7 linked regions of the Callithrix jacchus genome follow. The protein of the gene in region 3 interacts with the protein of the main gene of each other region in a pairwise test. Links are inferred from orthologs where the notes say so. Each region holds a gene or a part of one and is shown on either strand. Other genes may lie near its edges. The genes, in order: EXOSC1, PKP2, DMRTB1, CTBP1, RBPMS, QKI and IL16.

Region 1 (3,500 bases), on a different chromosome or scaffold from region 3:
GGCTGGGCGCAGTGGCTCACGACTATAATCCCAGTACTTTGGGAGGCCAAGGCAGGCGGATCATTTGAGGCCGGGAGTTTGAGATCAGCCTGGCCAACATGGTGAAACTCCGTCCCTACTGAAAAAACAAAACTCAGGCCAGGGCTCACGCCTGTAATTCCAGCGCTTTGGGAGGCTGAGGTGGGTGGATCACCTGAGGTTAGGAGTTCGAGATCAGCCTGGCCAACATGGAGAAACCCTGTCTCTACTAAATAAACAAAAAAATTAGCTGGGCGCTGTGGCAGTTGCCTATAATCCCAGCTACTCAGGAGGCTGAAGCAAAAGAATTGCTTAAACCTGGGAGTCGGAGGTTGCAGTAAGCTGAGAATGCGCCATTGTACTTCAGCTACTTGGGTGATGAGAATTACCTGAACCCAGGAGGTCGAGGCTGCGATGAGTGGAGATTGCACCACTGCACTCCAGCCTCCATGACAGAGAGAGACCCTGTCTCAAACAACCAGCACCACCACCATCACCACACAAAAAAGAAAAAAAAAAAACCATTCTCATCTCAGAACGAAATATCTATGGCCATACTGCTTCCCAGATAATGAAATCAAGAAAAACAATGGATTAATCCCAAACCACAACTCCAGGGAAAGTAAGGATGTTGAAGCAAGGCCACCTCACCTGACTCACTGTGGGCTACCACCACTCCCAGCTCGTTTTCGGCAGTGGTTAGCAGGTAGTTGGACTGTGCGTCACCTAGGGAGATCTAGTCACATAACACTGGTAAAGGAAAATGAGGAGTTAAAAGTCTTCCCTCCCACCATAGCCACCTGAATTGTTTTTCTACTTCTGTCTCGTTTTTTTTGTTTGTTTTCAGATGGAGTCTCGCTCTGTTATCCAAGCTGGAGTGCAGTGGTGCGATCTTAGCTCACTGCAACCTCTGCCTCCTGGGTTCAAACGATTCTCCTGCCTCAGCTTCCTGAGTAGCTGGGATTATAGGTGTGCACCACCATGCCCAGCTAATTTTTCTGTTTTTAATAAAGAAAGGGTTTCAGGCCAGGCGCGGTGGCTCAAGCCTGTAATCCCAGCACTTTGGGAGGCTGAGGCGGGTGGATCATGAGGTCAAGAGATCAAGACCACCCTGGTCAACATGGTGAAACCCTGTCTCTACTAAAAATACAAAAAATTAGCTGGGCATGGTGGCGCGTGCCTGTAATCCCAGCTACTCAGGAGGCTGAGGCAGGAGAATTGCCTGAACCCAGGAGGCGGAGGTTGCGGTGAGCCGAGATCGCGCCACTGTACTCCAGCCTGGGTAACAAGAGCGGAACTCCGTCTCAAAAAAAAAAAAAAAAAAAAGACACGGTTTCACTATGTTGGCCAGGCTGGTCTCCAACTCCGAACTCCTGACCTCAGGTGATTCACCCAACTCGGCCTCCCAAAGTGCTGGGATTATAGGCGTGAGCCACTGCACCCAGCCCCCATCTGTTCTTTTGACAAAGGACCAGAATTCTGCTGGGAATAAAGGATACCACTTTGGCCAAGACAATGTCACCTGGGCGGAAACTCTTATAAATTTCAACCTGTAAAGAAAGAACAGGAATGGTAAGTGAAAGCTCTAGACTGGGTCTACATGAAACTGTGAACCTCTCTGGTAAAGCCAGTCTACTTTCTAACCCTAGAGGGTAAAAGCATCATTACTTATGTAGTTAACAACTTTTAATTGCTTCTATAGTATTATCATACAAATGAAAGTCTTTTTTTTTTGAGACAGAGTTTTTCTCTCTTGCCCAGGCTGGAGTGCAGTAGTGCGATCTCAGCTCACTGCAACTTCTGCCTCCCAGGTTCAAGCAATTCTCATGCCTCAGCATCCTGAGTAGCTGGGATTACAGGCGTGTGCCAACATGCCCTGCTAAATTTTATAATTTTAGTAGAGACAGGGTTTGACTATGTTGGTCAGGCTGGTCTTGAACTCCTGACCTCATGATCCGCCCACCTCGGCCTCCCAAAGTGCAGAGATTACAGGTATGAGCCACCGTGCCTGCCCCCAATCCTCACTTTTTTTTTTTTTTAAGAGGTGGGATCTTGCTGTTTCACCCAGGCTGGAGTGCAGTGGCGCAATGGTAGCTCATTGCAGCCTAGGACTCCTGGACCAAGGGATCCTCCTGCCTCAGCCTCCCAAGTAGCTAGGACTACAGGTGCATGCCACCACATAACCTCAAACACCTCAGCTCAAGCAATCCTCCAGCCTCATCTTCTCAACCAGCTAGGACTACAGGCATGAGCCACCATGCCCAGCTAGTTTTTAATTTTTTATACTCGGATGCTGATCTTTTTGCAGAGATGGGGTCTTGTTATGCTGCCAGGGCTGGTCTTGAAGTCCTGGACTCAAGTGATCCTCCCCCCTCAGCCTCCCAAAGTACTGGGATTACAGGTGTGTGCCACCATGCCTGGCCTGAGGTAATACTTTTAAAGGATTAAGAGTCATAAAGCCATTTAAAAAAAAAAAAAAAAAAAAAAAAAGAACCAACCAACAACCTTGTCTTTTTCAGTTGCTCGGATATCTTCCTTGCTATAAAAAAAGAATTAACATAAAGATTAATTATCTGTGAGAAAGAATTTGTTTTTTGTTGTTCATTTGTTTGTTTTTGAGACAGAGTCTCCCTCTGTCACCCAGGCTGGAGTGCAGTGGTGTGATCTCAGTTCACTGCAACCTCCGCCTCCCAGGTTCAAGAGATTTTTCTGCCTTAGCCTCCCGAGTAGCTGATATTACAGGTGTGCACCACCACACCCGGCTAATTTTTGTATTTTCAGTAGAGACAGGGTTTCTCCATGTTGGCCAGCCTGGTCTTGAACTTCTGACCTCAGGAGATCCACCTGCCTCAGCTTCCCAAAGTGCAGGGATTACAGGCATGAGTCACCTTGCCCAGCCTGTGAGAAAGAATTATCCTGTAGATTCCTAGTAAATAAAGAGCTACAAGAACAGACAACAAGTCTACTTGGGACCCAGCTGCTACCCAGAGGAGCAGGGTGGAGCAGCAGTATCAATACCTCAGATTTGGCAAGACAGGATAAGGAGTTTCGGTGCCTCAGGGCATAAACAGAAGCACTAAAGCAAGGGTCTCCAACTGGTGGTGGGTCTGTGGCCTGTTAGGAACCAGGCTGCACAGAAGGAGGTGAGTGGCAGGCAAGTGACAGAAGCTTTATCTGTATTTATAGCTGCTACCCAATCGCTTACATTACTGCCTGAGCTCCGCCTCCTGTCAGATAAGGGCAGGCATTAGATTCTTATGGAAGTGTGAACCCTATTGTGAACTGTACGTATGAGGGAGCTAGGTTTCCCACTCCTTATGAGAATCTAATGCCTGATAATCTGTCACTGTCTCCCGTCACCCCCAGATGAGACTGTAGTTGCAGGGAAACAAACTTAGGGCTCCCACTGATTCTATATTATGGTGAGTTGTATAATGATTTCATTATATATTACAGTGCAATAATAGAAATAACATGCACAA
Region 2 (3,500 bases), on a different chromosome or scaffold from region 3:
GGAGAATGTTAAATTTTATAATCACAGTTGCCTTTCTCTGTGGAAAAGATTTTTATTTTTATTAATTTTATTTTAAGTTCTGGGAGGAAAAGATTTTTTAATTTGCTATGATCACTTCCTCTCAATTTTTTTCTCACAGTCATGCATATTCTGTAATCTAAATTTCTTAACTTAAAAATAAGAGAAAAAAAAAACAACTCAAGGGCATAAAAACAAGTACAAGGTAAACCAAGAAACAAACAATTTTGCCATTCTACTTTCTCCTGGATAACTGCAGACATTTCTTGTCATTTCCATTCTGTTTCAACACTGCAGAACAACACACTCGTGGCCCAGTGGGGAAGCAATGTGCACATGAGTGACAAAACAAGCGACCCAGAAAAGGAGTATAAATGTAAATAAAACTTTTAAAATCCCAGTAATGCAACAGCTTCTTTCCTTGTTTACTGGATGAATGCCCATTCCACATGAATTCATATTTTGGTTCCAGGAGGCCATGCACCATAAGCCCAATAATAAGGACCACTATTTGTAGGGGGTAAAACAGAGCCTGAGGCCAGTATCTACTGGTGGCAACTTGCAAAAGTCTTCTGGAAGACTCATAAAATTATGTTCTATTTGTTTGCAGGATTTGGGGAACCATGGAAATAGAAAAGGATAGAAACAAGGCATGCTTTTGACGTTTCTTGGGCTGGGTAGTAGAAAAATAGGTGTTTTCCTTTGGGGTTTTTTGCAGCTGAGAATACGTTTTCATTTTCCTCAGTCCTTAAGGGAGTGGTAGGCTTTGGCAGTCCGGCTGTTGACAAAATCTGTCTTCTTAAACTGAGCCTTAGGAATAAGCAAACAGAAACGTGAAAGGTAACAAAACTGGCACATAAAAAAATGCAGTTTTTTAGTGATTTCTTACTAGGGTCAAGAGGGCCATTATTACCAGCCTCTGTTAACTATGACACATTCCTTGTTCCTGTTCTTACCTTCTTGTAGGCATGATGGAGTTCCGTGTGCGCCCACAGAGAATACAGGAGGACAGAAGCAGCTTTACTTGCTTTGTTGGAGGCATAGCTGAAAAGAAAAGAACATTCTGAGATCAGGCAGAATGACTGAGGCTTCTGGATGCTGCCTGGTGACATTCTGTAAGACTCTGCACTCTTCAACTGCCGCTCCCAGCAGCCGTCCATGAAGTCAGGTCACTCGGTGACCAATTAGACAGTGAGCTCTGGAAGGCAGGGACCACATTTGTTTTTGTTTTCTTTTTAAACCACTAGGACAGTGCTAATAAATAAATAGTTTATAGAGAAAATCCCTGATATTTATAAGGAATATATCCTTAGACATGTTGCAAATCCTTGAATTATTTATAGAATAGAATCTATATTTGTAATGGTTATAATGTATGTTTACAGAATAAAAATGCATGAAAGTATGACTGAAAAATAAACATGATTTTTGTGCTGCTATGAATGCAGGAGTAAAGTAATTTTTCAAGTCAATAAAAGAGATTCTTGTGGCAGCCCTTGTTAAAGCAGTTTCAGAATCTCTTCATGTTTCGGTATAGAGCAAATGGAAAACTTGTTCCTGCTATAAATCCAAGTCACCACTGCATTTGACATTGTACTTAGTATTTAATGCTCGGCTTTTATTTTTTATTTAAAAAATTTTTTAATTTAATTTTTTTTTTTTTTTTGAGACGGAATCTCGCTCTGTCGCCCAGGCTGAACTGCAATGGTGTGATCTCGGCTCACTACAACCTCTGCCTCCCGGTTCAAGCAATTCTCCTGCTTCAGCCTGCCAAGTAGCTGGGATTACAGATGTGCACAACCGTTCTGGCTAATTTTTGTATTTTTAGTAGAGATGGGGTTTTTCCATGTTGGTCAGGCTGATCTTGAACTCTTACCTCAGATGATCCACCTGCCTCAGGTCCCAAAGTGCTGGGATTATAGGCGTGAGCCACCCTGCCTGCCCCATGTTCTGCTTTTAAATTTATCCTAAATGTCCCACTTTTGGCTTAGATCAGTGCTGCCTTAGAGCTCTTTCTCTTCTATCCCCTGACTAGCACATGGCTGATTTTTTTTTTTTAAACCAAGGTTTTTTTTACTCATATCATAGGCGTTTGTAAACATAAAACCATAACCAGAGAGTGCAAAGACGTACAGAGAAGAGCATGATGTGTTCTTTCAACAGTGAAAAGCCTTTCTCTTCCATACTAGCCCGGCAGGGAGGATCAGTCAAACCAGCATCTCACAAACTTGCTAGTACCTCCTGGACTTTTCAGAATCACTTGTGAAAACTGAAGGGCAAATAAATCCATGGAAGTGATGGGTCTCTAATATTCGAAACTGTAAAAAGTTATTAAATTGCAAGGGTGTTATATTCATAAAGTTTGTTTATAAGTTGGTTGTTTGGTACTTGATACTCATTTATTCAAAGATGTGATGTTATAAATGATAATTAGTTCCTAGGCTAGCCCACAAATGACAGGTCAGATATATAACACTCCAGTGCTCAGGGCTTGTTTTAATCTGACACTGAATGCAGTTTTCCTTCCTCATGTGCACTGCAGAGTGGGGCTACAGAGGAGAAGGGGCCTAAATTCGGTGGGGCTGTGGTGGAGGAAACAATGTACATCCTTGTACAGCCAAGCACACCCATGTTTCTTCAGTACAGGTGAAGTTATCTGCTTTGTAATTCATTAGAACTTGGCTATAGTGGCCATTTCTTTTCTTGTTTGGTTATTTATAAAAGTAACTTGTATCTATATGTAACAAGTTAAACAACTCAGAATTGAATAAAGAGAAAAAGAGAATATTCATGTCCCTTTCCAATCTCATCACTCTAATAGTAAATAATTTGGTTATATAAGGTTTTTCATTCTCATCCCCACTTTGTTATTTTTTAAATACGAAAAAGTTGAAAACAGGAACAGGGAAGTGGAGTGACATGTACCGGACCTTCTATTCTCAAAAGGGAATAAGAGGTGGAAGAGATAAGATAGAGAAAAAACTGTGAAAACAAGACTTTCTCATCAGGTTCCCCTCCACTGCTTCTCCTGTGCCATCACTGCTGCTGCTTGTCTTTTTTTCTTTTTTTGAGATAGAGCCTCACTCTGTCAACCAGGCTGGTGTGCAGTGGCATGATCTCGGCTCATTGAAACCTCTACCTCCTGGGCTCAAGCAGTTCTCAAGCCTGTTTTTGGAGTAGGTGGAATTGCAGGTGCGCACTACCACACCCAGCTAATTTTTTGTATTTTTAGTAGAGACAGAGTTTTGCCATGTTGGCCAAGCTGGTCTCGAACTCCTGACCTCAAGTGATCCACCTGCTTTGGCCTCCCAAAGTGCTGGGATCACAGGTTTGAGCACAGTGCCTGGCCATCACTGCTTCTTCTAAGCCACCTGGTGTGACGTCTCCTCCCAAGATGGTAGTGGCAGAGGAAAAGGGCACTTGCCTGTCCAGAGGACTCCTGCTCTCCCTACATTCTGCTGTTACTAAATCACAGCTGTGGC
Region 3 (3,500 bases):
TTGCTTGCCTTCTTTAGGGCGCCATCTGAGCATCCACCCGGACCGTGCACTAGGCCCTGAGTACCCCGGCGGCTCCAGCATGCACGCCTACTGCCCGTTCCCGCCGGGCTACCCGGACGCCCCTCCTGGCGTCCCCCTGCAGCAGGGCTTCCGGCATGTGTCCCACAGCCAGTACCAAGGCGGAGGCTTGGTGAGTCCCACCCCCCTCACTCCTTGCCAGCTTCTTCCTCCTCCCAGCTGCCCCTGCCGCCTTGATGGATCCTCAGTCCCAGGAAGCCAACTGTCATAAACCATGTACCCGACTCCGTGCCAGCCCCTGAATGCTGGTGGAGGGCAAGGCACTGCCCAGGTACAGTGTGTGTCTCTGGGAGCATACACGTGTGGACCAGTCTGCACCACTCGGCCTGGACTGTGGCCTGTGCTTTTCAGGGCTGTGGGCTTTCCAGGTGACACTTGCCTTGACTCATGCTGATGCTAGAAGGGACCTTCATTTTGCTGGCCTCCAGAGAGGGAATATCACTTCCTGGGACCACAAAATTTAGGGCAGAGCCAGGACCAGAGGTAGGCTCCTGTGCACAGGCATAGCACACTTGAGACTGCAGAGGGCTTTCAGGAGGAGGTGGTGTTTGAGCTCAGTGATGAAAAATACGGAACCCTTCCCCCAAACACCTGACACCTTAGGAAATACCTGTTGAGAGAATGAAATTTAATCCTTCATAAGATTAATTAAAGTCAGTTGCTAGCTACTGTTCTCACTGAGCTGGGAATTTTGAGTACCAAGTGTGTAAAGTCAGGTCACCCCTATGGTGTGTACAGCAAGGCAAGTGTGATTGGGTTTTATGGCTTGGTTACCAGCTCCTTCCAGACTAGGATGGCTAAAAGCCTGCTTCCTCCCTAATGAAAGTCATTAGCTACACAGCGTGGAGCCGGTCCAGTGGGGCTTGAGCTGTGCCTGGGCAGGTCAGATACACAGGTCACCGGGTCCTCTCTCCTGCTTCAGCCTGGTGGCAGCAGCATCTCTCCCACTTGTCTTAGATGTTGTAAAATTGTACTTAAAAATCATTTTCCATTGGTTCAAGGAAAGAAAGTTTGAAAGCCACTGGCCTTGATAATTCCAGGGTACCTACTGAACCTTCAAGGTAGGTGTTATACCCCATTGTAGCATTGAGAAAAAAGGCTCAGAGAAGCTATGTCTTTGGCCAGGGTCACAAAACTGGTGAGAGAGAGAGACTGGGATTCCAGTTACATAGCTGGTTGGTGACAGTACCACGTTGTACACCTCAGCTGCCCTGACTCTGGAGCCCAGGCGCTATCTACTGCTCCTTCCTCTCTCATACCGAGGTAGAACACACCTGGCTTTTGACTTGCACCACCACTGCTGCTTGCCTGACATCTGTGGGCACTGTCCAGGGAGAGCCAGGCATCTCCAGCCTCCACACAAAGAGTGGGGCTCTGGCCAAGTAGAGCATGCTCCGTCTGCTCATGCAGAAGCCTGGAGCCTGGCGTCCAGGGCAGGGCTCTGATTGACAGGCCTGCCAGACGGCCTTTGTTAAGAGTGTGATCTCAGTTGGTTTATCTGGGCACGAGCTGCCACCACAGGCCCCAGGCAGGAGCTGTGATCCGGGGAAACGCTTGGCTGGGCAGCTTGGAATTAAAACACTAATAATCCCCCATCCACCCTCTCTCGTCTGGAGAGAGGATCAGGTGTTGATTTGTGAGCTGTTTCAAACCCCAGAGCCCCTAAATCACTTTCATCCATGTCCTGCTGCCCCTTGCCGAGGCGTGGAGGTGCTCCCCAGAGCAGCTTCCTCCTCCGTGTTCTTGTCCCTGCCCCACCTGCTGCTGCTTGGCTTCCTCTGCTCTCCTATTCACAGGACAGCACAGGCCCTGGAGGTGGACAGACCTAAGGTCCAATCCTGCCTCCTCCGTCATGTCCCAACCACGTGCTCTGTGGCAGTTACCTGACCTCTGAGGGCCTCGCTTGGTCTTGGTCTGTAAAATGGGGGTAGGAGGACCTATTTCATAGGGCTCCTGAGTAGAATAAATAAGGCAATGCATGTGAAATACCTAGCACAGGGTCTGGCACATAGTAGGTGCTTAAAAGTGGGCTTTCTCCTCTTCCTGGTGGTGGAAAAAAGTTAGGAAATGCTGGGTTAATCTAAGGAGATTTTTACAGCTTCTTCTGAGCCTTTAATATACTCTTGTGTGACCCACTAATGTGGGGAGTACTATGTGGGGTTCCTCAAACTCACTTAACAAATAACACTTTTAAGACTACTAAGAAATGTCTTGTAGGACACCAGGGCTCCCTGAAACTCAGCTCAGGAAGCGTTGCTCTGAAGCATGAGAAGGAAATGACAGGAACTACATCCAAAAGTCAGTATTACTTCTTAGGACATTCATGTCTTTCTCAGTTAAGCTCAGAGCTGTGTAGTCATCCCCGTCCGGATCCTGTGATGGAGCTCTGTGCTGCAGTAAGGGGTTGGAGTCCATCCCTTGAAGGAACAGAAGCAGCAAGTGTTGGTCAATGAGGCCACTTGTCTGAAGTCACCAGCGTGTCTTGCTTCAGAAACAGCTGCACTACACCCATATTGCCAATTTCTTCTCCCAAAGGCCCCCTGGCACTTAAGTTTAAGTCACCACATGTGCCAGACAGGGGGTCCTGTGGGGTTGGGATGCATTCAGACCCTTCCCCAGTGCAGAGCAGTGCTGCACAGTCAGCTGAGTGGGCTGTGGAGTCAGCCAACTTTGGATCCAGTTCTGCCCTTACCACAAAGCAGCTCTGGGGCCCTGGGCCTGTAGCTTCATCTCACTGAAGCTGGTTTTCATCATTACAAGGCCAGTAGTAGAACCCCCCTCCTAGGTTCGTGAGCACCCCAGCACAGTCCCCCTGCCATACACAGAAGGGCTCAGTCACTGACCACTCAGCTGTTCCCATGCTTATCTGAGGTTGCCTGTGTTGCTTCTTGCCTTCAATAATTTGGCAGGTGCTTGCTGAATGCCTCCTTCCAAGTGCCCTGTGCCTGTATGTTTGGTCAGCCCATCTGGCTAACTCTCTCCCCACTCTGCCTCTCTGCTATGTGTGCTGTGCAGGCATCGGAACCAGTGGGAGACTTCCAGCCAAGCTACTACCCACCACCGCCACCACTGCCGCCCCTTCCACCTCTTCCACCGCAGCCCCAGTTCCTCCCACCAGGATACCTCTCTGCCCTCCACTTCCTCCCTCCGCCACCGCCACCGCCACCACCACCTCCATCATCTTTCTCACTGACCGTCCTGATTGATCCTGACAAAGAGAACACTGGTGAGTGAGCTTCCAGGAGAACCAGGGAGACTTTCTGGAGGAAGAGGTACCTAATCTGATTAGGTGTGGAAAGAAGGGACATGGAATTTAAAAGATGCTGAACCCTAGGATGAGCTCTTAACCCCTTCTCCAGTCCCCATAAGCCCGCATCTAAGGGAGGTGGGAATGGGATTCCAGGTGAGGAAACCAGGCCTCC
Region 4 (3,114 bases), on a different chromosome or scaffold from region 3:
GCCTCCCAGCCTCCCCCAGTCCTGTTCCCCTGGGTGTTTGGGCTGCGTCCGGCTGCCCTGTCTGCCTGGCAGTCTGGTCTCCTTGGCCCTCAGGTCACTACGGGCCCCTCGCACATGCTGTTTCAGCTCTCCGGCTTCCTTCCTGTCCCCTCGTGTCTCTAGCAAGCTTGGCCTTCTCAGGGAGGCCTGCCCTGGCGGCCACCTTTGAAACTGCGTCCACTCCCCGTCCTGCCCCAGCACCCACCCTGCTTCCTTCCTTTGCAGCAGTCCCCTCCTACGTGATACAGGGGAGAGTGCGTTCGAGGTCTGGGGTCCTGTGTCCTTACAGCCGTGTCTGCGCTTCTGAGTCTGTGCCCGCACTGTTGGCTCACAGTGGGTGTGACCCTGCAGACCCTTCCGTAGGGCAGATCCAGCCCCAGCCAAGCTTGGTGGCCCTCTCTCCGAGGCTCCTGTGCTGGGACCCGCACCAGCGTTGGACTGCTGGGGTGGGGGCAGGCAGTGGGTGAGAAGGTCCCACAGCAGGGCTGGGGGATGGGTAGGCATGTCTGCCTGGGTGGCTTTCTCTGCTGCTCCACACAACCAGGACAGGACGTAACCCCAGCGGGAACACCCTAGTCTGGAAGGTTCCCTCCTGCCCCATTTGCTGTCTCCACCAAGCTGTGGTTGAAATTGAGGTGCCAGAGACGCTGATGGGTAGACCCAAAAGCAGACCATCGGAGGGGCCTGGGCACACATGGCATGTGTGGGCTGGGTGGAGACCTGCTGACCTGTCCGTTTGACGCGGAGTGGTTCATGTTGCGTCCTGTGGACAGACTGCAGTGGGCGTGGCATGACTGACACGTGGTATGGGCCCAGGGGAGAGCTCACCCCTTTCCACCCCTGTGTACAGCCTCCGCCTTGCCAGCGGGCACATTGGAAGCAGATGTCTTGTGTGGAGCGGGCACCCAAGGTGTCATCTTTGGCAGACAGATGGTCAAACTGAGGCACAGAGGCCACGCTGACCCTGGCTGTGGGTGAGCAAGGGTCTCATGCTGCCTCTTGACGCCACCAGGTCGTGTAGGGCAGGCGGTGGCGCTGCGAGCCAAGGCCTTCGGCTTCAACGTGCTCTTCTACGACCCCTACCTGTCAGACGGCGTGGAGCGGGCACTGGGGCTGCAGCGCGTGAGCACCCTGCAGGACCTGCTGTTCCACAGCGACTGTGTGACACTGCACTGCGGCCTCAACGAGCACAACCACCACCTCATCAACGACTTCACCGTCAAGCAGGTGCGTGGGCCGGGGGCAGGACTCCCTTCTGGCAGGGACAGCATGAGGGACAGGTGGGGATGTCAGGTGGGTCCCTCCCAGCTGCCACCTGCACCTGGGTGAGACTCTGCCCTCCTTGAGCCACACCACGGTGTCCACCAGCCCTGCTGGAGTCAGCCACATCGGCACAGACGGCTTTCTCCATGTTCCGGGCTCTACTCAGGACACCTAAAATGCTCTCCATACGAGACAAAACCACAGACCTTTGAGTACCAGATCCCCGTGAAGTCCTTGTCGCTCACACAGCGGGACAGATGCAGCTGCCTGGGGGCCTTGGGTCGGCCATTGTGGCTTCCGTGCTGTGCCGCCAGGTTCAGGTTGCAAATCTGCAGCTGGAAAGGGCTGTGCTCAGGCGGGCCTCTGCCTCAGCACTGTGCTCCCCTGGAGTGGGTGGAGTTGGGGGCGCCTGGCTCCCACTGGCTCCAGGCCTTTCAGAGGGCTGTATGTGTGCATTGGTGTGTATATACATGGGCACGTGTGCTTGGGTGCACATATGTCTGCACTTTGCATGTGCTGGTTTGTGTGCATATGTGTGCACATGTCAGGGGCCACGTGTCAGCCGCCTGCCCAGACCCCTGTAGCCGCAAGGAGGATGAGGCCAGGTGCCCGCTTCCCCTGTCTTTGTTCACAGAGCTTTCTAGTGCACAGGGTGTGGCACATGGACGCTGGTCAGAGCCCTGCTGTCTCTGAGGACCTTGGGTGTGAGGCTGCAATGGGCAGCAGCTCACAAAGAGGAGCCACTGTGACCAGCACGGGTGCCCGCCAAACACCGTGGCTGGGTGGGCTGGCTTTGCTGAAATGGAGGGATGCAGGAAAGCCGTGGCTGCGAAGCCAAGGGGGAGCCTCTCCAAGGGCCTTTTGTGAAAGCGCATGAAACACAGCAGGCTCTGCTGCAGGCCCCGGGTGGGGCTGGAGTTGAAAACCACGCCTCAGTGCAGGCAGCCCTGGGTGTTGGGAGGCTGGGCTGGAGGGGACCCAGAAAGAGGGTACCACAGGGGCCAAGCCCGGAGCCCCACCCAGTCCTCAGCTCGGCTTGGACAGGAGGGTCGAGCTCTCTAGGAGGTGTGGGGCTGTGCAGGTCTCTAAGGCCTGAGCCCCAGCCAGCCTGCCAGGGCCATGGTGCCAAATGCCCAGGGTGGGCCTGGGCTGGGAAGGGGCCAGGGAGCTCCCCCACCTGAGGGGGCGCACTGCCACCCTTGCTTCCCTGGTCACCCACCCTGCGCAGATCCCTGACTGAGCCTAGCCTTGTCCTTATGTCTTCCAGATGAGACAAGGGGCCTTCCTGGTGAACACGGCCCGGGGTGGCCTGGTGGATGAGAAGGCGCTGGCCCAGGCCCTGAAGGAGGGCCGGATCCGCGGCGCGGCCCTGGACGTGCACGAGTCGGAACCCTTCAGGTGCCCCCACGGCTGGTGCCGTCCCTGCCCTTCCCTGCCCACCTTCCTGCCAGGCCAGGCACTTGTCTTTGCTCAGCCTCTTGCTAGCCAGCACTGGGGGAGTTTGCCCTCCACTGTGTGATGAGGATGGAGCCATGGGCTCCAGGCCTGCCTTGCCTCAATGCTGGGAGGCACTGGTTGTGCTCCGCAGCCTCTCTTTGGGCAGGGCTCCCAACCAGCCAGGAGAGCATGAGGCTCCAGTGTCTGTGAGTGGTCCCCGACGGCCCTGGCCATGGAGCCACGGGGTCACATCCCTACCTGCAAACAGTGCTCTGGGACCCCAGGCAGCCCTGGGCTGGATGTTAGTTACAGAAGATACCCTCGGCAGGGGCAGGATCAGCTTGTGGGACCCACAGACCCTTCGGTGGAGAGGGG
Region 5 (4,083 bases), on a different chromosome or scaffold from region 3:
TCTGTATGGGAATTTTTAACCTTCGTAGGAAAAGCAATGGAACATCATGGTAGCTAAAATTGCAAATCTCAAACTTGGCAGAATTATTAGAAAAAAGTAAAGTTCAGTAGAACAGATTGTGAGGAAAGCATTATTCATGTCACAGGAGTTTACAAATAACAGGTGTACAATGCACTGGGATGTTTCTCGCCCATTAATGGAAACGCTCCGGAGACTGTACAGTCAAGAAGATGGATAAGGTTGTAGATCCCTTCCGCTATCTCCAGTGATTCATTTTTTTTTTCTCTAATACTGCCTAACTTCCTCTGTTACAGACACTGGGTAGTATCAACATGTTTCCTTACTGTTCAATCTGAAAGACAAACCCTCCAAAAAATTAAAAATAGAAAAAGTAATGTTCTGATTTATCTGCCATCAATACTTTTTATTTGTGGATTCTCTTAATACCATATCAGAAATAACTTTATAATTTATTTTTTTGAGATGAAGCCTCGCCCTGTTACCCATGCTGGAGTGCCGTTGCGCGATCTCAGCTTACTGCACACCCCGCCTCCCCGGTTCAAGCGATTCTCCTGCCTCAGCCTCCCAAATAGCTGGGACTACAGTCACCTGCCACCACCCCTGGCTAATTTTTTGTATTTTTAGTGGAGACAGGGTTCCACCGTGTTAGCCAGAATGGTCTCGATCTCCTAACCTTGCAATCTGTCCACCTCGGCTTCCCCAAGTGCTGGGATTACAGGCGTCAGCCTATTTTTTATTTTGTTGTTTCTTTTTGTATAGAGAGTCTTGCTAAACAGTATTTCTTGGCCCTTGCCCATGCTAGCTGTTCCCTTTGGTGATACGGGCAAAATTAACCCAAACCATGAAATAAAACATTACACTCTATTTCCTTCTTCCCTGCCTCTCCAGGTTTCCATCGCTTTTCACCTTAGCCCTTAGTTTTGTTGCACTGGTAGCATCCTGGAGCCTCGCAGGTTTTTCTCAGCTCATTCACTCTCTTTTCACCCTCAACCGTGGCAGCTCCAGAATGCGGGTTTCTGGTGTGTTATCTTCTGTTTCTGTGAACTTTCGCTGCCAGTCACTGCCTTTCCATTTTAATTGCATTCTCCCACCCCCGCAGTCTTCCTGGAATGCTTCCTGTTTTGCTCAGGTGGGTCTCATCCTCCCGGGGCCCGCATCTCCTCTTTCGCCTTCGTCTGACTGAGCCCGGTTGCAGCTGAGTCCTCGGCGTGGGGAAGTGAGGTGGGGGAAGCTGAGTCAGGTGCGCGACCTTGTGTGTCCGCACTTCCGGTCGCGCGGCCCACGCCGGCCGCCATTATGATGCAGAGCCAGGTGAGTCGTCTGGGCCCAAACCTGCTGTTGGAAGTGCAAGGGCACCGAGAACCACCCTACCTGTAAGAGATCTGTTAAACTTCCTCAGATGGGATGGGGAAAGGTGAGAGGGTGACATTTCAGGTGACCAATGCCTGAACTGGGGCTTCCAGGGAAAGGCTAGAGAAAGACGTGGCGAAAAACTCTCCCTCCTGGGGCTGTGACTTCTATTATATTTACTCATCGTAACTTTTTTTTTTTTTTTTTTGAGACTGAGTTTCACTCTTGTTACCCAGGCTGGAGTGCAATGGCGCGATCTCGGCTCACCGCAACCTCCGCCTCCTGGGTTCAGGCAATTCTCTTGCCTCAGCCTCCTGAGCAGCTGGGATTACAGGCACGCACCACCGTGCCCAGCTAATTTTTTGTATTTTTAGTAGAGACGGGGTTTCACCATGTTGACCAGGATGGTCTCGATCTCTTGACCTCGTGATCCACCCGCCTCGGCCTCCCAAGGTGCTGGGATTACAGGCTTGAGCCACCACGCCCGGCCAACATTGTAACTTTTTAAAAATAACTGTGGAATTAATAGTAATTCCCCTGAAATACCCACCCTGTGTTGATGGAGCAATGGCAAAAAGCTCGTGCTTAAGTATTCTTGTCCACAGCGTTGCCAGTGCCTCCTTGGTACGGAAAACCAGGTGTGACAGAGTCACCTCAAGCCCCGCAACTTCTCCAAAACCCGAATCTGCGTGAATATTGCCTTTCTATAAAATAATGGAATCCGTTTGCCAAGTCTATATTCTCCTAAACTGTAATACTTAATATTTTTTTCTCTGAAGTCTTATTTTAAATGGTTTTTTAAATGGTGCCCTGCACTAATGTTTTTGGTAATTATGGCTAAAAAAAATTTAAAATCTTTAAGTGATGTAAAAAGAACCTGAATCTGGAATATGCTGCGTGGATACTGCCTTTTTAAAAAATACTGGAATCCGTTTGCCCAAAGTCTATATTCTCCTAGACTGTAATACTTAATATTTTTTCTCTGCAATCTATTTTAAATGGTTTTTTAAATGGTGCCCTGCACTAATGTTTTCAGTAATTATGGCTATAAAAATTAAAAGTCTTTAATCTGCATGATATAGGAAAAAAAGCTGTGTAGAATAGTAGTTAAGAGCCCAGGCTTTGTTGAACTGCCTGAGTTCAAATCAAGCTCTAACACCAGCTGTTTTGATTTTGGACCTGTTCCTTTACCCTCAGTTTCCTTATTTGCAAAATAGTTCCTATCTTACAGGGTTGTGGTCAGGGTAATTGGGTAAATACAGGTTTACAGTTGCTTATCTGAAATCCTTGGGGCCAGATGTGCCTAAAAATCTTTCAGATTTTATACTGATTGATAATTGACTGAGGCAGTCTGTTTCTGTGGCCCATGCTGGAATGCAGTTAGCTCACTGCAACCTCCACCTCCCAGGTTCAAGCAATTCTCTGGCCTCGGCCTCGTTAGTAGCTGGGACTACAGGGGCGAACCGCTATGCCCGGCTAATTTTTGTGTTTTTAGCAGAGATGGGGTTTCGCCATGTTGGCCAGGCTGGTCTGAACTCCTGGCCTCAAGTGATTCTCCCACCTTGGCCTCCCAAAGTGCTGGATTACAGGTGTGAGCAGCCACCCCGCCTGGCCTCTTTCAGATTGTAAAAGACAACATAGTACATAACGCATTGGTAACATAATATAGTGAGGTCTAAGGTAGCACATAGTAATTAAGCACATTAATATTTTTGCAATGAAACATGAATAATACACTAAGTGGGATAAGTTAAAACTATAAATAGTTTAACATCACTTCATATCAGGTTTTGCCACCCAGTGAGTTTGCACTGCCCTCCTCCCAGACTCACCACTGTAGGCTTTTAGAGCGTTTAGATTTTGGAATTGTGGATTAGAGGTTGTGGAGTCATATGTAAACCATTTGAACAGGGCCTGGCATATAGTAAGCACCCTATAAATGTTATGTGCAAAACTGAATTCTTCCTATACTTTATGACTAGTTTGTCATTATTTAAAAGAGTAGTTTAAATCATAGTGCTTTAAAGTGGATGTAGTGTAGGCCTATGTAACTATTTGTGTGTATTTTTTGCATATTACTCCCTCATTTGGGTTTCAGGTCTGTTTTTCCCATGGTAAAAGAACAAGAGAAAACAAGGCAGAGCAGAAAAGTTCCATGTTCCTTCTCACTCCTGCTTGCCTAGTCAAAACAATTGAACAGTTTAAGATGTCTATTTCAAAGATTTCAAGTAAATTCTAAAATGTTTCCTCTTGTCGTGACTTGTGACTTCAGCCTTGACTTGCCACTCTGTGCATCTAAATCTTTTGATCTGCTTTGCTGCCAATGGATTATTTCCAGAATATGATGGTGTAGACATTCTTACATTTTAGGCAATTTAAATGCTTCTAAGATTTTTTTTCTTACCCAAAAGAGGTGGCTTCTGAGTTTAGGACTGTGGGATTGATGTTTTATGTGAGTTCATGGCTGTGTTATGTTATTTGGCCTGAAAGTCTAGTGATCTGGTACATTTTATCCTGTGATCCATTAATATGTATTGAAAATATACTGCAGTTCTTACAGTGAAAAATAATTAGACCCATTTCATCCTCTTTCTACTTAATACACATATTTACCCAGTCTAAGCCTGATTAAGAAGGGCAGTGTGGGAATGGCTGAAAGAAAAATACATGCTTTTCAAAAGGTAAACCAGAACTGGAAGCAGAAACTCTGAA
Region 6 (4,179 bases), on a different chromosome or scaffold from region 3:
ATGTTTGTACTGGTCTGATAAAAAACAGTCAAACTTCCTTGTCATTATATTGCCCATTTTAAACATACTATCTGCCATACAGAAGCAATCTTTACACTGGGAGTTGACAAGGCTAAAACTAGAGTAAGATGAGAAATGGAATAAGCCACATTACAAGGGGAAGGGGAAACAAATATAAGGAGATTTCCTCTCGGTCTCCTACATTTTAAAGTCAAACGATTACTATTTCCAACCAGAGAGAAATACACCTTGGTTAAAAATAGGGACGTAATTCAAATTTCTGGATTTGAAAAATTAAAAATTATTAAAGCAAAAAGTTAGAAACTTGGTAACAAGGAACCAGCTCTAAATTATGAAGAGAGTTTAGATCAACATAAAAGCACAAGTGAGACGCCCTTTTAAACTAAAGAAACTCCAAAGTATGCAGCTTTTTAAATAGTATACTAAGGTGAAGTATTTTCACTTTTTTTTGAATCTCCTATAGTCTCTGAATTCAACATTTCAAGAATGCAATTTAATTTTAACTAACCCTAAACATTGTCAAGGTCTATTTTCATTTTACCGTCGAAAAAGGATTCCTGCTAAACAACTGCACTCAAGAAAAAAACTTTTACCAGAAATTGTTACTAGCACTATTAAAACTTAACCAAAATATGCGAAAGAGAAAATGTTATTTTTGAAACGTCATAAACTTGTGCCAATAATTGTGTTTTCAATGTTCGAGAACACTATAGGAACACGTGATGACAAATCAAATAATCCATACTTAATTTAATATAGGTCAGATTACTGTGTATGTTTCACATTTCGTTCTGACCATTTTCATGGTTAAAAAATAACTGGCGCCCCTTAGCGCTCACATTCGGAAATACGCAATTTAAGAGTTACAGCAATTTTTTTTTTTTTTTTTTTTTTGACATTCCAGAAAGTTTTCTGCCTCCACAATCTTTCAAATGCCAACACAAATAGGAAAAGCAGAACCCCTTAAAGGGACAGCTGAAGTTTTCTCTGGAGCAACCTGAAATTAGCAGATCTGTTGTTCCAACAGTGGAAAATGCCCATTTCAATGTGGGTGAGTGCTGTACGTTTAACACACGGAAGCACAACGACCAGAAAGCCTAACACCTAACCATTTCCTACTTTTGTTTCTACGACTTTCAATACAACAAAACTCCTGGGATTTTTCTTTAACCATCTTTTTATCATGTAAACATTTCCGGCCTTTTGTTCTTTGGTGACATTCCAACTCCCCAAGCTTCAAACTCCTTTTCCCCGACTACTTTTAAAATCTCGAAATTCTTGCGAAAAACCTAAACTCCACTATTTCTTCAACCTACAGTTTTTGGTTTCCATTTTACAGTCCTCCAGTAATGCCTCTAAGCAGAAAAAGAAAAAAATCCTGGCTAGTCGATTTTCGAAACAGACATTTTTGTGTGTGGTCATTTTTTTTTTTTTCTCTAGGTGTCCGCAGAAACCCACAGCTACTAAAAATTAATACTCCAGGTCCTGCTATGAGAACTTCTTAAGGAAATTCCAGAGTTGGTCAACATTAATCTTCTTGTCATTCTTCGCTCCCCACAGAGCTCCATAAAGCTATTTGGAAACTTTGGCTCAATTTTATTTCGCCCTTTCCCAGCGTCTCGATTCCCTGTCCTGAAAACTCAGGCGGCTGCGTCCCCGAGAGCAAACCCTCCGCCCAAGTTCTTCCTAACTCAGGCAGCGCTCCGATCTGTCATCGCGGTATTTCGCTCTCCACCCCCCCCCACCCCCGAAAAGTGAAGTTCAACTCCCTAACAGTTCTCGCTTCCCCAAACAAAAGGAAAAAAAGCGCTTTTCGCCGTCACTTCGTCCTCCCTGTCGGCTACGCCAGCATTACTTTCGGTCTCCTACCGAATTTTCTTGAACGAGCCCCACGCTGACTTCCACTTACTATTTACCAGCTGCACCAATTCCCCAAGCACGAAACCCCGCTTTGGTCCTCACCCGGAGGGAGAGCTCCCGAACTCGGGGCAGCGGGGGTCCGCACCGGGCTGGTTCGGGAGACCGAGCGGAGGAGCGGGGCCCGCGCCGGGGACACGCGCGTCCTCCAGGCCGGCGGCGCGGCGTGGGCCTGCTCTCGAGAGGGCTCGGCGAGGACCACCGAGCCCGCGCGGCCCCCGCCGGCCTCTCGGAAATGTGACCGCCAAAGCTAGAGGGGCCGCAGCGTCCGCCCCGCAGCCCTCCGCACGGCACAAACTTGGGCGCCAGCAGCACTGGGTCCCGGCCGGGCGGGGGCCGTCCGGCCCCGGCGGGTCCACCCCGGCCCGCCCGCCCGCTCGCCCGCTCGCCGCCGCCAGCCGGGCCCCGCGCCTTCTTTGTGCGTCCTCCCGGCCTCCCCGTCCCCCCGGCGCGCGGTCCCGCCCGGCCGTGACCTACCCGCCCTCCCCACCATCCGGAGCGGGGAAAGGGGCTGCCCCGGCGGGGTTGGGGCCGGGGCCCGTGAGGCGCTCACCTTCGTCCAGCAGCCGCTCGAGGTGGTTGAAGATCCCGCAGAAGTTGGGCAGGCTGCTCATGAGCTTCTTGTCGTTCATCAGCTGCATCAGGTAATCTGGGGTGGGCTTCGGCTTCTCCTTCGTTTCCATTTCCCCGACCATATTCCAGGCTCCGCAGCTCACTCCGCCCGCCGCCGCCGCCGCCGCCGCCGGAGAGGAGGGAGGGGCGGGGGCGAGCCCCGGCCGCCGGCCGCTCGGGACCCGGCGTCCCGCTCCGCGCCGGCTCCCGCTCCGGCTCCCGCGCCGAGCCCCGGGGCGGCCGGCACCGCGCGCTCGCCCGCCCCCCGCAGGCACTTTCCGCCCGGGGCCGACGCGCTCCCGGCCGCCGCCGCTCTCGGCCGCCCGACTCGGCGCGTCCCTCACGAGGCCGGCGGGAGGCGGGTCTCGGCTGGCCGAGTACGGGCGCGGGGCGCGGGCCGCTGGCGCCGGACGAGGAGGAGCCGGGGCCGCCGCTAGCTCGGCTGGTCGCGCCCGCTGAGCACCGCCGCCGCCTGTGCCGCGGGCTCGGGGGTCTCTCTGGGCTGGTGCCCGCCGCGGCGCCTCTGCCGCTGCCGCTGCCGCCGCGCTCTGACTGCGCTCCTCCTCTTCCTCCTCCTCCTTCTCCTCCTCCTCCTCCTCACTCACTTGGCGGCGGAGTTCGCCTCAGTTCAGGCGGCGCTGCCAGCGGCGGCGGCGGCGGCGGCGGCGGCGGCAGGGGGGGAGGGGCGGCGGCGGGGGGAGGGCCGGGGGCGGGAGGCGGGCGGGGCCGCGCAGGGCGGCCGTTAGCGGGGCCGGGCCGGCGCGCTCCTGCAGCCCGCTGCCCGCCGCCCCCCACCCTGGCAGCCACTGGCGCCTGGCTACCTCCTCCCTGCCTCCCCGGCGGGGCGGGCGGCGGGAGCGTGACGGTCGGCGGCGCTGGGCGGGCCCGGGCCTGGGAGCAGAGGATGGGGTCGCTGCCGTGCCGGGCGCCCGGGGTGCGTGGGTGTGGGTTGCAAGGCTGTCGGCCACAGGGTGCGGGGTACGCGGGGCTTTCCACGGCAGGGGGCGGGCGGGGCCGCGGGCGCGGTCGTGGCCCCAGCGGCGGGCGAGAGGAATCCCAGCGGGACGCGCCAACGGTGCCTCCGCCTCGCTCCTCGTTACTATAGTTCTTTCAAAACCTCTCATCCACCCCGCAGAAGAGAAATTTTTTTAACGTCCTGTTGCTTCACGGGGGACTTTCGGGGTGGGCGTCACGTGGCCCGACACGTAGCTGTGGGGCTCCAGAGCGCGTGCGCGCGTCGAGGCTGGTGGCCACGCCCATCCTGAGGGTCGCTCCGCCCCCGCCGGGCCCCGCCAGCGCGCGGTGGGGGAGGCGCGTGGCCCGGAGTGCGCCTGCGTGGGGCGGGGGCGGGGGCGGGGCTGGGGGCGGCAGCCGCCTAGGGTCTGAGTCTGGCGGTTTTGACCGGGGCCCAGGCGCGTCGCCCACCGTGCGGAGGGCTGGTCGGCCTGCACTGGCAGTCCGGCCTGACGCGGCGCGGGTCTCGGCTGCGGGGGGCGGGGGGTGCGGAGGACAGGAGTTTGAGGCTTTCTGAGGCGCGCGCCCCGGCGTCCGCCTCTGCGGGACTCTGCGCGGGGCGCCCTCGGTCGGCGCGCCGGGCTCCGGCTTCGTCGCCGAGGGAACCACGCGCGA
Region 7 (3,500 bases), on a different chromosome or scaffold from region 3:
CATATGACTATTTGAGAAACTCTACAGGGAAAGTCCATGAAAGCCTTTTGGAGGGCGAAGGGACATTTTGGAAAGATCTAGCACATCTCGCCCAGAGCAGAGGCCTGTGGGGGCAGCTCCTTTCACTTCCCTTAGTCACCCTCATTGAGGAACATACTAGCGAAAGCAAATGCCTCAGTGTTGAACTGGCAGGAGCTTGTCACCCCAGTCTGTAGCGGGCTTGACTGTGGAACCTCTGCCTCCTGATTCTCACAACAGCCCCTTATAGCCAAGCCATTCAGAAACGCAGAAACAGGCTGGAGGGCTGGGCTCACTTGCCAAAGGCCAGCCTCTTGGAACGTGCAGTATTTCTCTTTGATATCATCGAGGTGTAATGCTCCACAGGATTCCCTTCTTTTGAAACCTGGCATTGAGACAAGGGGCAGGAGGGATCAGAGTTCCTTAAACTGGGTTGCGTTCCAGTAGCAAGCATCACTCAGAGCACACAGGGCAGCCTCCCTCTGCTCCTGGGAAAGAGAGCTGGGGCACAGTCTCCCCTACCCACACAGATGTGATGCTGGTTCAATGCCGGCTTCTGAGAAAGGCTGCTGTGTGCTCCAGGGCACACCTGAGGTCCTGGCTGGCACAGAACAGGCTGCACATTGCAATCCCCTGCTTATCACATGCCCAGCACCCAGGCTGCATCCCGGGTATTTTCAATCAGTACCTAGGGGTGGGCATCAGTATTTTTAGGACCCTCCAGAGTCCAGTGTGTAGCCAAGATGGAGAATCCTTGGCACAGATTTCTTTGTACCTGGAACCTTTTCATCAGCTCTTGAGGGAGGGAAAACACTCCTTTGCTGAGCAAGCTGATCAATGACCTGCGTATAGGGAGAGCGGCAAACACAGTTTCAGGGCCAGGCAGTTGCATACGTGGGAAATGCCAGCTGGGTGAGAGGGAGTGTGAGGAGCTGTGGGTAGCTACGGTGGCCTCATTGGAAGGTGTACACAGGTGCCGTGCTTTTTTTTTTTTAATTTCTCTTTATTATTGAATTGTTGATCCTTTTCTTTTGTCTAATTCATAGTACCTCCATCCTCAGCTTTCTGATTTTTTTTTTTTTCAAGACGGGGTTTCACCATGTTGGTCAGGCTGGTCTTGAACTCCCAAACTCAGGTGGTCCACCCACCTTGGCCTCCAAAGTGCTTGGATTACAGGCATGAGCCACCACGCCCGGTCAGGCGCTGTGCCTTTTAACAACATGGGTAGGCCCAAGCACAAACAGCTGCCAACTTGTGACCTGTGTCTTAAAAGTTTAAACAGTGAGAGAATTGCTTTGGCTTTTCCACATTTGACACGGTATCTTGGAGGCTCCTTAGTGCAGTAGAAAGGACGTAAACTTTGAGAGTCAGGAGACATGGCACTGCCATCAGATGGCCCCTTACCCTTCTTGAAATGTAAAATGCCAGAGATCAGCCCAGATGTTCTCTGAGTGACCTTCCTGGCCTAGACACTAGGAAGCCATGAGGTTAATTCCTGCTTCTGGCTCTTCACTGCTGCCTGTTGGCAACTCAGTCGGGTAGTAGACCTGGAGCTCACCCACCTGGTGTCTCCCACTTCTGCCAATCTCCTTCTCTTGAATCCATCTTGCTGTTCAGCTTGGAAACTAGAATTTAGGGAGAAATATCACAGTATGATGTAACGCACAGCTTTTGGCCTCGTTTCTGCACATAGTGACCCAAACATCCCCGATAAAACACCCACTGCTTAAGAGGCAGGCTCGGATGGACTATAGCTTTGATACCACAGCCGAAGACCCTTGGGTTAGAATTTCCGACTGCATCAAAAACTTATTTAGCCCCATCATGACTGAGAACCATAGCCACATGCCTCTCCAGCCCAATGCCAGCCTGAGTGAAGACGATGGGACACAGGGCCACCCAGATGGGACCCCACCAAAGCTGGAGACGGCCAACGGCACTCCCAAAGTTTACAGGCCAGCAGACAGCAGCACCGTGAAGAAGGGTCCCCCAGTGGCTCCCAAGCCAGCCTGGTTTCGTCAAAGCTTGAAAGGTTTGAGGAATCGTGCTTCCGACCCAAGAAGGCTCCCTGATCCTGCCTTGTCTGCCCAGCCAGTGCCTGCTTCCAGGGAGCACCCGGGACCACACACCCAGGCTTCCTCATCCTCCATCAAGCAGAGAATTAGCTCCTTCGAAACCTTTGGCTCCTCTCAATGGCCTGACAAAGGAGCCCAGAGACTAAGTCTACAGCTCTCCTCTGGGGAGGCAACAAAACCTGTTGGGAAGCATGAGGGAGGTCGGCTTCCTGGACTCTTGGGCCGAGGGGCTGCACCCACTCTTGCACCTCAGGAGACTGAGCAAGTGCTGCCCTCGGGGTCTCCTGCAGCCTCCGAGGCAAGAGACCTAGGTGTGTCTGAGTCCCCTCCCCCAAGGCAGCAGCCCAGTGAGAAAACTCTTCCTCCTGGCCCGGACCCGCTCCTGAGGCTGCTGTCAACACAGACTGAGGAATCTCAAGGCCCAGTGCTCAAGATGCCAAGCCAGAGAGCACGGAGTTTCCCCCTGACCAGGTCCCAATCTTGTGAGACGAAGCTCCTGGATGAAAAGACCAGCAAACTCTACTCTATCAGCAGCCAAGTGTCATCGGCTGTCATGAAATCCTTGCTGTGCCTTCCATCTTCTATCTCCTGGGGCCAGACTCCCTGTATCCTCAAGGAAGGGGCATCTCCAACATCATCATCCAAGGAAGACTCAGCTGCAAATGGTTTGGCCGAAACATCTGGCTCGGACACGGGGTTCTCGCTCAAGTGAGTTTCTATACCCGGTGTTTCTCTTCACCTTTCTCATCTTTTTCTTTCTCACCTTTCTTTTTAAAAATAATTCTATATATCATTCAAAACATTTCTCAGATATGCTGGCTAAAGGACTGTTTTGCCTCTTTACATGTGTGTGCAGATGTGTGTGTGTGTGTGTGTCTATAGGTATTACACCTGTGCCTTCCATATTAAGGAGGAGTTTTCACAACACCGGGCTTCAGGAGGACTGGGAGGTAGGGGAAGGGACTAGCTCCCTGGTGAATTGCTCATGGGGGCTGTTGCACGCCTGTGGAGGTTTGGAAGGCTGATGCACATCTAAAATGTCCTGCGGTTACTCAGAAAGACCACAGTGAGGCCAGGAGATTATCCATCGGGAATTCTTACTGCTCTCCAAAAGGAATCCACTTGTACTCTGCACATGGGTTCAACTCCCCGGTCAGGGAGTTAGGATGTCTGGGTCCTAGTCCCAGCTCAGGCACTGATTCTGACCATGAGCAGGTTCCTTCCATGCTCACCCTCAGACTCCTTTTCAGCTGAAATTAGGAGGTGGATGAACCTGCTTTGTAGAACCAGAGGACTGTCAGAGGTACCATGGGCTCCTGCTGTAGGGATGGAGCTTGGTCTTCCCTCTGATCAAACTAGCTCTGCATTTATTGGTTGCATTTATTGTTCTTATGCTGCTGGGAAATA

Evidence for each region.
Region 1: the proteins of DMRTB1 (region 3) and EXOSC1 interact in a two-hybrid assay, tested with the Homo sapiens proteins (2 studies listed by BioGRID). The link is inferred for Callithrix jacchus from reciprocal best matches to the Homo sapiens genes DMRTB1 and EXOSC1.
Region 2: the proteins of DMRTB1 (region 3) and PKP2 interact in a two-hybrid assay, tested with the Homo sapiens proteins (2 studies listed by BioGRID). The link is inferred for Callithrix jacchus from reciprocal best matches to the Homo sapiens genes DMRTB1 and PKP2.
Region 4: the proteins of DMRTB1 (region 3) and CTBP1 interact in a two-hybrid assay, tested with the Homo sapiens proteins (4 studies listed by BioGRID). The link is inferred for Callithrix jacchus from reciprocal best matches to the Homo sapiens genes DMRTB1 and CTBP1.
Region 5: the proteins of DMRTB1 (region 3) and RBPMS interact in a two-hybrid assay, tested with the Homo sapiens proteins (2 studies listed by BioGRID). The link is inferred for Callithrix jacchus from reciprocal best matches to the Homo sapiens genes DMRTB1 and RBPMS.
Region 6: the proteins of DMRTB1 (region 3) and QKI interact in a two-hybrid assay, tested with the Homo sapiens proteins (2 studies listed by BioGRID). The link is inferred for Callithrix jacchus from reciprocal best matches to the Homo sapiens genes DMRTB1 and QKI.
Region 7: the proteins of DMRTB1 (region 3) and IL16 interact in a two-hybrid assay, tested with the Homo sapiens proteins (2 studies listed by BioGRID). The two-hybrid records come from large-scale screens. The link is inferred for Callithrix jacchus from reciprocal best matches to the Homo sapiens genes DMRTB1 and IL16.

The regions. Positions count from the first base shown.
Region 1 is NC_133513.1:90,258,838-90,262,337, forward strand, and holds part of EXOSC1 (exosome complex component CSL4), read right to left. Parts: intron 2,558-3,500; coding exon 2,524-2,557; coding exon of another isoform or gene 2,517-2,523; intron 1,569-2,516; coding exon 1,518-1,568; intron 755-1,517; coding exon 670-754; intron 1-669. UniProt on the Homo sapiens protein: Non-catalytic component of the RNA exosome complex which has 3'->5' exoribonuclease activity and participates in a multitude of cellular RNA processing and degradation events.
Region 2 is NC_133510.1:38,675,968-38,679,467, reverse strand, and holds part of PKP2 (plakophilin-2), read right to left. Parts: intron 1,063-3,500; coding exon 975-1,062; intron 829-974; coding exon 760-828; coding exon of another isoform or gene 615-759; 3' UTR 1-614. UniProt on the Homo sapiens protein: A component of desmosome cell-cell junctions which are required for positive regulation of cellular adhesion.
Region 3 is NC_133508.1:90,591,695-90,595,194, forward strand, and holds part of DMRTB1 (doublesex- and mab-3-related transcription factor B1), read left to right. Parts: intron 1-17; coding exon 18-190; intron 191-3,093; coding exon 3,094-3,304; intron 3,305-3,500.
Region 4 is NC_133504.1:191,956,098-191,959,211, forward strand, and holds part of CTBP1 (C-terminal-binding protein 1), read left to right. Parts: intron 1-1,051; coding exon 1,052-1,266; intron 1,267-2,569; coding exon 2,570-2,700; intron 2,701-3,114. UniProt on the Homo sapiens protein: Corepressor targeting diverse transcription regulators such as GLIS2 or BCL6. Has dehydrogenase activity. Involved in controlling the equilibrium between tubular and stacked structures in the Golgi complex.
Region 5 is NC_133514.1:31,590,111-31,594,193, forward strand, and holds the start of RBPMS (RNA-binding protein with multiple splicing), read left to right. Parts: upstream 1-1,283; 5' UTR 1,284-1,317; coding exon of another isoform or gene 1,318-1,332; 5' UTR 1,333-1,420; coding exon 1,421-1,435; intron 1,436-4,083.
Region 6 is NC_133505.1:169,958,217-169,962,395, reverse strand, and holds the start of QKI (KH domain-containing RNA-binding protein QKI), read right to left. Parts: upstream 2,801-4,179; 5' UTR 2,634-2,800; coding exon 2,492-2,633; intron 2,329-2,491; exon of another isoform or gene 1,984-2,328; intron 1-1,983. UniProt on the Homo sapiens protein: RNA reader protein, which recognizes and binds specific RNAs, thereby regulating RNA metabolic processes, such as pre-mRNA splicing, circular RNA (circRNA) formation, mRNA export, mRNA stability and/or translation.
Region 7 is NC_133507.1:26,333,103-26,336,602, reverse strand, and holds part of IL16 (pro-interleukin-16), read left to right. Parts: intron 1-1,711; coding exon 1,712-2,801; intron 2,802-3,500. UniProt on the Homo sapiens protein: Interleukin-16 stimulates a migratory response in CD4+ lymphocytes, monocytes, and eosinophils. Primes CD4+ T-cells for IL-2 and IL-15 responsiveness. Also induces T-lymphocyte expression of interleukin 2 receptor. Ligand for CD4.